Linked DNA regions of Coturnix japonica. The protein of the gene in region 1 interacts with the protein of each later gene in a pairwise test. Links are inferred from orthologs where the notes say so. Each region holds a gene or a part of one and is shown in the gene's direction. Other genes may lie near its edges.

Region 1 (4,811 bases):
TTTGGTGCCTGAATGTCTTTTTGGTGCATCCCACAGGCACCAGGTGTCCCATCACAGGGGCACACTTACGCCAGAGAGATGGGGGACGCAGCATTGCGGTTGGTATAGTTGACAATGGCGTTGAAAGATTGGTTCACCCACTGCCAGAACACCACAGCTGGCACTGTCCTGCAGAGGGAAAAGGGCCCGCAGAGCACCCAGGTGCCATCAGGGAACAGATAAGATGCCCTCTGTACCCTTGTCCTGGTGTCTGCTGGGGGAAACTGAGGCACGGCAGCCTGAAGTCAAGGAGTGAAGCAGGGGCAGGGCTGGGAAATGAATGTGTATGAGAGGGTCTTGCAGACAGCACAGGAGGAGGCATAGCCCTGAGGGGTTTGGGATGAGAATGAGATCCACCTGGCCCTCAGTGATGCATGCAGCAAGCTCATGGGGACAGAGGTGTGTGAGAGCAACCCACTCCTGAGCCCATAGCATTAGAGCCCCTAGAGGAGCTGAGGGCCATCCAGGCTGTGTCCCAACTTGTGTCCCCAGCTCTCACCGGTAGAACTGCAGCATGCAGCCAGTGAGGGCCATGCCACCCGGCACCTGGAAGGACATCCTGCCAATGAGGTTCATCTTCTCACCACTGTCAGGGTGGAAAGCCGAGTCGTACAGTTTCTTGGCATAAAGCAGCTGCTCCTGGCTGCTCCCCGGTGGCACCATCCCGGCCCTGAAAGGCCGAAGTCACAGCAGCTCAGCCACGATAGCTCAGGGCTCCCAAAACCCCAATAAACACCCACAAAAACACCTCTGACGGATCATAGAATCTTTTGAGTTGGAAGAGCCCCTTAAAAGTCATCTAGCCCAACTCTCCTGCTACAAACAGATACATCTACAGCTCCATCAGGGTGCTCAGATGCTGCACCAGCGCTCGGGCAGGTGCCAGGCACAGCCCCAGCACCACAGCTGTGTGCTCACCTGCATCCTGCCACCACGGCCTGCGCCCGGTCCAGCTCCCCCTCCGGCACCAGCACAGTGCGCGGGTCGGTGATGTTGAAGAAGTGCCGCAGCCGCCCCATGAAGGTGCTCTGATCCCAGCGCGGGGCATCGATGTCGAAGCCGAGGGGCACAGCAGCCATTTTGGGATAGCGCCGTGCTGCTGCGGAGCGCTGCACCGAGTCAACTGCTGCGGGTTTATATTTAACAGCTGGCTTGGACTTTCAGCGACCCGAGGCGCTGCTGCCGCCGGCCTCCTGCACTGCACACTGATAACCGCACACACCCCACGGCATGCACGCTTCCAACGGTGCTAAGCCGCATTCCCCCCCCCTTCAAGGCTGCTGACTGCACACCCGTGGAGCTGCACAGCCACCCGGTGACGTTCATTGCAATGCATCGCATCGCGCAGTCCCCACTCAACCCGCGCCCCCACCCCACGTGTCCCTACCTGCGCGGCACCCAAACTTTTGGCGCGCCGCGTGGCCGCCCTCAGCCAATCAGAGCGAGCCGAGAGGCCGCGCCCACCTGCCGCGTGCTCTCAGGATGGGGGCGTGGCTACGATTGGCCCCGCCCCCTCCCGCGGGCCCCGCGCGCGCGCTCCGTACGTCCGGCGGGAAGCGGTGACGTGCGACGTAGCGGCGGCGTGTGTGTGACGCAGTTGCCCATGGTAACCCCGCTGCCGCGTAGAGGATGGTGAGCGGGGCGGGGGCGGCGGGCCGGGCCTGGAGGGAAACCGGGGACATGGGGGGGAACGGGGGGAGATCGGGGACATGGGGGAGACGGGGGAGACTGGGTGGGCAGGGACGGGCCGCGTGGGTCGGGTCGGAGGAGATCGCTCGGCCCTTGGGGCGTCCGGCCCGACGGTCGGGGCGTGGGGGGATGCGTGGGGTCGGGGGGAAGCGGAGCCGCAGAGGCACCGTTGGCCCGAGGGGAGATGGAAGGGAGGATGGGCTGAAGGGACACGGCAGTGATGGGGGCAGCGACCGAGCACCGAGTGCTGGGGGAGCTGTGACCGGGGAAGGACCATGGACAGGGCAACCAGGGGGAAGGGGGGGTGGTGGTGGTGGTGGTGATGGTGGTGGTGATGGCCACAGCACAAGACATGGGATGTTGGAGTGGAGCACGAGGATGCTCAGAGGGATGGAGCACTTCTCCTATGGAGACAGGCTGAGGGGCTGCGCGTGTTCGGCCTGGAGAACTCGGCTGTTCAGTATGGCTTCAGTGTGGCCTTCCCAGAGAAGGTTTCCCCATCCCTGGAGGAATTCAAGGCCAGCTTGGATGGGGCCCTGGGTGAGCTTTAAGATCCGTTCCAACCCATCCGTCCTGTGCTGGTTCCTGGGGGCTGCAGAAGTTGAGGGAGCTCCAGGAGGGCATGCAGAGTTGGAAGGGCTGTTGATAAATAGCCTTAAAAGGGGAGCTCAGTCTTGGCAAAGAAGCCTGGGTGAAGGAGCTGGGTGTTTGGGCTGAGACACTGCCCAGGGACTGGGAGAGACCAGGGTGGGATGACCAGTTTGGGGGATCACTGTACCGTGCCAGTCACTGTTGGCTGGCTAGGATGGGTTGCTGGGATTTGAGTGCTCTTGGGTTTTCTGCCATGGGCTGAGGAAATGGGGACAGCACAGGCTGAAGAGAGAAGAACTCATTGTGGGAAGGAGTAGAGGAACTTTGGTGCTAGTGAGAGAAAGAGACGAACCAGAAGGGAAAGGAATGCTCAAGTGTGGAAACAAAGTATTTGACGGGGAGCAGTGTTCACTGAGAGGAATTGGAGCCTCACTGTGAAGGGTCTGGTAAGGACAGAGGGCATCGCTGGGAGACAGATGTGTGGTGAGGGTGAAATGTTGCCTGTATCAGGTTAGGGTGGGGCTGAGTGATAGACTTGGGTGCTGGATGCTGCAGTAGTTGGGGTGGGATGGGAGATGCTGGTGGAATCCGTCAAGGACTGTCAGGAAAGGATGAGTGGGGATCAGCAGAGGGGTGGCTGGGGAGCTGCAGCTGGGGTACAGCATGTGCAGAGAGCCCAGGCTGAAGGAAATGGTCATGTGGGAAAGAGCTTCTGTAGGGCAAAGTTGTGTTTTGTCCAGGAGCCCCCTGGATTCAAGCTGTATTAAAGCACAGGAGGAGGCATAAGTGAGAACAGCAAAGGCAGCTCCTCATCTTTGCTGAGTTGATGCTGGCTGCATCCCCACCTGCCGTGCCACAGAGAAAGAGATTGAGATAAAGACTGTGAGACCTGCTGTATTTTAGATCAGGCGATGATGGAGCTTGTCACACCAGGCACCAAAGCCATCACAGGATGGACATCTGCTGTGGAGATGAAGGCAGCTGCCTCCAGCAGCTTTGTGGGACACATTTGGCCTGCAGCTGCTACCAGCCAAATCTGCTCTTCTGCTTTGTGATGTCCTGATAAACTGGTGTAGTCTGGGATCTGGCTGTTGTTATGTGAGCGCTTTGTGCACGGGGAGGGTGGACTGGGTGTTTTCCAGTGCTTGTGCTATTTGCTACAGCATTTTAATGCTTCCTAGTCTATTTTTCATTTCTGAGAGTTCTTGGAGTTGTAGCCTCTCAAATGGTGTGGGTAAAGGACTGGCTGGGCTGGGCAGCAGTTCTGCTTGCTCCCATTCCAGTGGTAAGATGGTTAATGCTGACGTTTAAATTATTTCACTGCTCATCCGAGTAAGCGCAGAGGGGAAGTGTCTTGTTCTGCAGAGCATACCAGCATTTCTCACAGCTGTGAGGCAGGGGTGCTGGAAGGTCGTAGGTGGAGCACAGAGGGAAAGATGAGCCATAAAAATGCATAGCATGAGAGATGCGTGGCGCTGAAGGCTTTGGCTCGGTTGAGCAGCACGTGTGCTGGGCTCACAGCAAGAGTGAAGGGAGATGTTACATGAAAGGGTGAGCAGCCTTCAAGAGTTGTGGAAGTGCTGTGTGAAGCAGAGCTTGCGTCCTGCTTGTCTACACCAAGTGAGATGGTTGTTGCTGATGGGTAGCAGGGCTGGGGGACGACCTGAGTTCTTCTAAAGCTGTTGACTGAAGATGACACTGCTGCATCAATCCAGGCCTGTCAATGCATGGCCCCACTGTGCAGCCAAGGAAACTGAGTCACGGAGCGGTTGGATGACACCAGGCAGATCTTGGTCAGAGAATGAAGGACCGACATAGCAAAACGTGTAGTCAGACATCTTCCTCCTGGCCTCGAGCTCCCAGTTGTAACAAAAGCAGCAAGTGTTGCTGCCTGTACTGCTCAGAATTTTCCTTTTGCCCCTTGTCTGACATGGAGGCTGTACCCAACCGACCCCATTAAAACAAACCATTTTCCAAAGCTATAGCAGTGCTCTGCTGCTCCAGTTTCCTAGCAGAGCTGCACGTCACACATCTTTCATTTATTTACTGGTTGTGCGATAGCTTTATGGGAAACGATGTGCAGGGAGTGCAGCATACCAACAACTGGAGGAGGTTTCCAAGTACTGCACTGCTGAAGGGGAGACAAAGCGGCAGGCATCAGCAATGCCCTGCACAGGGCAGAGCGCTTCCTTGAAGTCTGCAAAGAGCAGAGGAGTTTGATTTTAATTATGAAAGGAGAACTCATGCTGGTGTTGGTTAATGCACCGAGAGAGCGAGTGCCGTGTGACCTCTTTGACAGAAAACTGTGTTAGTAGGTTTGAGCTGGAAGAGCTCTGTAGGTGACTCGGCTCCAATAAATGTGGGATTTCAGCACAGAAAAGAAAGTCTGCATTGAATGACACCATATGGTGGAGACATGCAGCAAGCAAATGATTTCGTTGGGAGTTCTGCCAGAGTAAGAAGTATTGAATAAACCGTGCTCAATAGATTAA
Region 2 (4,853 bases), on another chromosome or scaffold:
CTCCACTTGAGTTACATGTTTGTGATGTTTCTATGTTGAGGATGTGTTTCGGCAGCAGCTTTTGACCCACTTAGTTTGGTTTCTACAAGGAATCAGGGTTCAGTTGGTGAAGTAGCACAAAAGTCAATGGAGTTCTGCTTATTTTGCACCCAGGCTGTAGAACTCTCTCTTCCAAGAATCGTACAGGTTGCTTTTATTAAATGATTGGGCTATATAGTAGAACTCTATTAATTGGTACCTTATTTACACCATCACCATCCCACTTCTTGGCAGCGGTTCAGTAGAGGAGACTGTCGTAGCAAATCTCATGCTGTGAGCTGTTTTATTCTCCAAGTCTTTTACCATCTTTGTTAGGAGAGCTGAGATGTATTCCTCACGCTGAGTACTTTTGCTTCCTGCTGACCAAGGAGCGGAGAGCACTGCACACAGGTCCCAGAATCGAGCTGTCTGGCTGTTCCTCTCACATTCTGCCTTCCATAACTCAAAGGTGCTGAGTCTAATCCAGAGGAGGAGATGGGGGGGTACAGGGGAAATGTCCCTCTGAGCCTCACGTAAAAGCGGTTCCCTAGGAAAGTTCTGTGCATCGTTTTCTCGTTGAGCTTTTTTCCCCAACTACAGACTGTATCAGGAGTGGAGCGAGGGTTGTTCTTGCTGAAATGTGAATTCTCTTCCAGCTGTTGTGATGAAGGTCAGGATGGCAAATAGGTGCCTGGGGCACCTCGTATCCTCACGGACTGTACTGTGCAAAGTTCAGGTATTCTCTACTTTGCCATTCTGCTTTTCAGAATCTTTAGAGATGAAATTCCAGATGCTTCCAAATGCAGCAATAGGCACAAAGATACAAAGCAAAGCGTGCTGTAGAGGAAGGAGTGGGACAGAACCGCTTCGCACTCTGCCTTAATAGATGCAGCTTTGGGTTCCTTGGCCAGGATTAACTGAGATATAACTCCCATGTGCCTGGGGATCCTGCTCAGTACCAAGTGCTGTATGAGAGAGGCCCACAGAGCTGTATGGGTGTCCAACTGAAACACAGGGCTCCAAATAGCCCAGGTGTCTTTGTGGACATGGCTCTGGGTGCCTGCGTGCTGTCTGGACAGGGAGACCCGAGTGCTTTGCTGTGCAGAGGGGCCGGCTGTGTTGCAGAGCACTGTGCTGTTATTTCACGTATGGAAAAGGCTGTAGATGGGGCTGGGTTTCTGCTGGCATCCGCCATAGGGGGCTGTCCTGCTGTGGGGCTCTGAGGGGTGGGAAACCCAAGAAGGGGGAGAAATGGAGCGTGGCACAGTCGTCTGTTCGGAAATAAAACGTCTTGAAGAGTGTTTGTCGGGTTTTATTGTGCTGCTGCTCGTGTTGGGAGCTGGGTTCGTGGCCTCAGCTCTGAGGGAAGCGCTTATAGAAGACGGGCCCCCCCAATCCCAACTGCTTGGCGGCCTACTATGGCGGCGCGCCCCTTCTCCCATTGGCTCTTCGTAGAGTGTGGGCGGGACTTCTGTGGCCGCTTCTGCTCTGCGATTGGCTGCGGGCGGGCCGGAAGGAAGCGTTTCCAAGGTAACAGCCTGGCCGGGAGGTGGCCTAGGGGGGAACTGGGGGGACAAGGCCTGTGTGTGCGCCGGGTGGGCCCTGCCGTCCTTATAGCTTAATTAGCTTTAATTAGCTTAATTAGCGTTATATTAACGCCTCACCGTGTGAATCCTCAGCGCTTCGGCTCAACACAAGGAGGATTGCAGCCAGCTGCGGTACGGCACGTTGTCTGTGATGCTGGAGGGATGGAGAGTTCAGAGGAGGAGAACTTCGGTGTAGCTGTGTGAGTACGAGCCGTTCTGTGTCGGGTCCTGCTTAAAGTATCTCCATAGGGATTTAATACGAGAGTTAACGTGTGCTGTGCTGCCCGCTGGGTGGGTGAGGGCAGTGCAGAGCCATGGGATGGAGGGGCATCCATTGAGTCCCAACTCCATGCACTGAGCAGCACCTGGTGGCCCTTGTAGCGATGGATTTAAACTACAAGAGTGGGGGTTTGGAGGGCTGCACAGCGGGAGGGCACTGAGCTCCTGTGGGTGCCCATGATTTGCTGCAGGTGCTCAGGGTCAGGCTTCATAGAGCCTTGTGCAGCCTGAGCCATAGGAGATGTACACACCTACAGTAGGGCTTGGGACTGGGTGGGCTTTAAGGTCCCTCCCAGCCCAACTGTTCTGTTTTTCTATGGCATAACCAAACTTTACACGTGTGGGTGTTAAGGTTCACCCTGTACTTCCTGGCCTGCTCTTCCCCTTCAGCCACAAGCTTTAGGTGATGTGTGGCTGTGCTTTACACTCCTTCAGATTCTTTTATTACACCTCAAGGACATGCAGGCCCTTGGGCTGCTACAGCAGCACAGGTTGTGCCGACCTTGTTGTGCTTAAACCACGGGGTTTGTGAGCGTGTGTTTGCTGAGATGTGCAGGTATGGGTGCACACAGAGAGGTGCAATCTGCTGGTGTGGAGCAGCTACAGTTGGGTGACGTGCTCCACAAGCTGAAACTGGCTTCAATTAATAGAACAAGCTATGAATTATAAGCTGGAAAAGGCTCTAAAAATGGTGGTAGTGTTCACTGGGAGAGAGAGAAATAAGAAAAGCAAATGATCCTTAGCATGTTCTCCTTGCATAGCAATGTGAAATGAGAAGCTCCGTTGCTTCAAGTCAGAAAGTCGATGCTCAAGGAGTGCAGAGCTGCTGCTGTCCTGGGTGAGCTCCTCTTCTGGACAAGCTGTGCCCTCTGCTGGAAGTGCACGCATTCAGCTTTGGGCTTCCCTTACTTCATCTTCTAAGCTTTAACAGGTCCCAGATGTTGCTGGAACACGGGCTGGTGCTCAAATGTCTTTGTTTTTTCTGGTCAGGGTGAGCCCTATGGCTGAACAGTTAAACTGCTCTTGGCTTCATTCTGGTGGACTGCTGTGTGATAGCAGCACAGTCTGAAAGAGTTCTGCTCTCTTAGAGCTGTTGTGTCTGAACAAGAAAATTAGCAGAGTCCTGAAATGCTGCTGCCCGAAGTTCCTTCCCTGGGTGTGTTCAGATCAATAACGATGCTTAACCTCTGCTTATTACAGAAGGAGCTTATGAGGCTTTGCCCTTTGTGTGTAGCATGCAGCAGGAAAAGCATTTAAGTTTCTATAGAGAAATAATGCATATATTAAGCAACTCCACAAGACCAAGTGCTGCAAAATAGCATCTAGTGTTCTGTGGTCACCATGTTGAGTGATGCAAGAAAAAGAACAGAAGGAAATATTGTGGTAGAAGCCTGGATTTGTGGCTCAGGAAATGTTTAATTTGGTGTTACAATGATATTCTTCCTGTTCTTTTTGCATCCGGACTGGAATCACTTAACAGTGATGCCAGTAAAACAACTTTTTAATTAGGAAAACATTATAGATGCCTAATGAAAATCCCACACAGCAGTCTCTGATCTGTCCAATCGACATTAGACATTGGTCTAATGGAGTATTTTCTAGGTTAACAGTAGCAAATTGTTCTTGCTTAAGTTTACTGGGCTTGTTTGTACTTGACCATTCCTTAACATCTCTAAGGTTTATTTTTCCTGTAGTTGAAATGTGCATTTATGCAGTGCCACCTTTTGTGCTTTCAGCTCCTCCCCATCTGATGCAGAGTTTGATGCTGTCATTGGATACCTGGAGGATATCATCATGGGTAAGCTCAGCAAGCAGGCAACAAGATGGGTGCTAAAAATGCTGCATGCACACAGCCAGTCTACCCTATACCTGCTGTCTTTCCTTTCTCCTCGTCATCCCTGCATTAAAATAATGTACAGGAAAGTATTTTCTATGCTGTTTGCACAACAACAGTCTGCAACGTGGCAGAACTTTTTGGTGGTAAGAATGTTCAGTAGAGCCAATCTATGTGAGCAGAGGCAATCGTGAGCTCTCAGCTTAACCAAGAGGTGTGCAGCCTGCTTGTTGTGTTGAGTTTGGTGGTAACTTGCCTTATTCATCTCCACAACTGGGGAAAAAAAAGCCTTCAGTAGCTGACAGTCTGACAGTCTGGCTGATACTGTTGAGTTTGAGAAGCTGTAGGAAGAGAATCGACTTCAAATTCCATCCTGAGGGCAGAGCTGCTGCCAAAACACAGCGATGTGCTGCTGCCCGGGTGATGCGCTCCCTCAGCTGGAGCTGCTCCCTCTGTCCTCTCACAGATGGGCCAGGATGTGGCCCAGCAGCAGCAGCTGTGCTCGTGGTGTGACTGCCTGCACGTGTGCCAGGCTGGTGGCTGCCACAGGGAAGCAGAGGAGCGGTGACAGTGGGGTTTCTGTTGTGAAAAGAATGACTCAACTCCTAACTAGATGATGCCTTTTTGTTGTGGTCCAGATGATGACTTCCAGTCCATACAGAGGACTTTTATGGAGAAGCACTACCAGGAGTTTGATGATTCAGAAGAAAACAAGCTCATCTACACTTCTATTTTTAATGAATATGTAAGATACTTCTTATCCTTCATATGGATCACTCTTTGATTTTACTAAGGCCAATGTCAGGCCTTGCATTCTCCCTTCTGTAACTTGCTGGGTTCGTGAGGAGGGGGGAAGAAGGGGGGAATTCCTTTTCTTTTGTTGGTTTTGATTGATTTGATTGACCTTTGTGTGTTTTCTTTTAAGATCTCCTTAATTGAGAAATACATTGAGGAAAAACTGCTCGATCGGATTCCTGGTTTTGATATGACTGCTTTCACAATGTCTTTGCAGTAAGTCTTCTGCTTTGCTGTTGCTGGGGGGGAGGGAGGGTTGTATGTGTCTCAGTTCTATCTAGATTTGAATGTATCTGTTCATAGTTCTCCCTTGAGAAAGAAGCTCCCCCTTAACAACAATG

What was found.
Region 2: the proteins of ARL3 (region 1) and ARL2BP interact in binary tests that used the Homo sapiens proteins (3 or more experiments, as listed by UniProt). The link is inferred for Coturnix japonica from reciprocal best matches to the Homo sapiens genes ARL3 and ARL2BP.

Annotation. Positions count from the first base shown.
Region 1 is NC_029521.1:20,421,597-20,426,407, reverse strand, and holds the start of ARL3 (ADP-ribosylation factor-like protein 3), read left to right. Parts: upstream 1-1,551; 5' UTR 1,552-1,668; coding exon 1,669-1,671; intron 1,672-4,811. Other genes in the region: SFXN2 (sideroflexin-2), read right to left, coding at 70-168, 539-709, 958-1,118. UniProt on the Homo sapiens protein: Small GTP-binding protein which cycles between an inactive GDP-bound and an active GTP-bound form, and the rate of cycling is regulated by guanine nucleotide exchange factors (GEF) and GTPase-activating proteins (GAP).
Region 2 is NC_029526.1:1,740,207-1,745,059, reverse strand, and holds the start of ARL2BP (ADP-ribosylation factor-like protein 2-binding protein), read left to right. Parts: upstream 1-1,543; 5' UTR 1,544-1,766; coding exon 1,767-1,804; intron 1,805-3,619; coding exon 3,620-3,681; intron 3,682-4,355; coding exon 4,356-4,462; intron 4,463-4,642; coding exon 4,643-4,728; intron 4,729-4,853. UniProt on the Homo sapiens protein: Together with ARL2, plays a role in the nuclear translocation, retention and transcriptional activity of STAT3. May play a role as an effector of ARL2.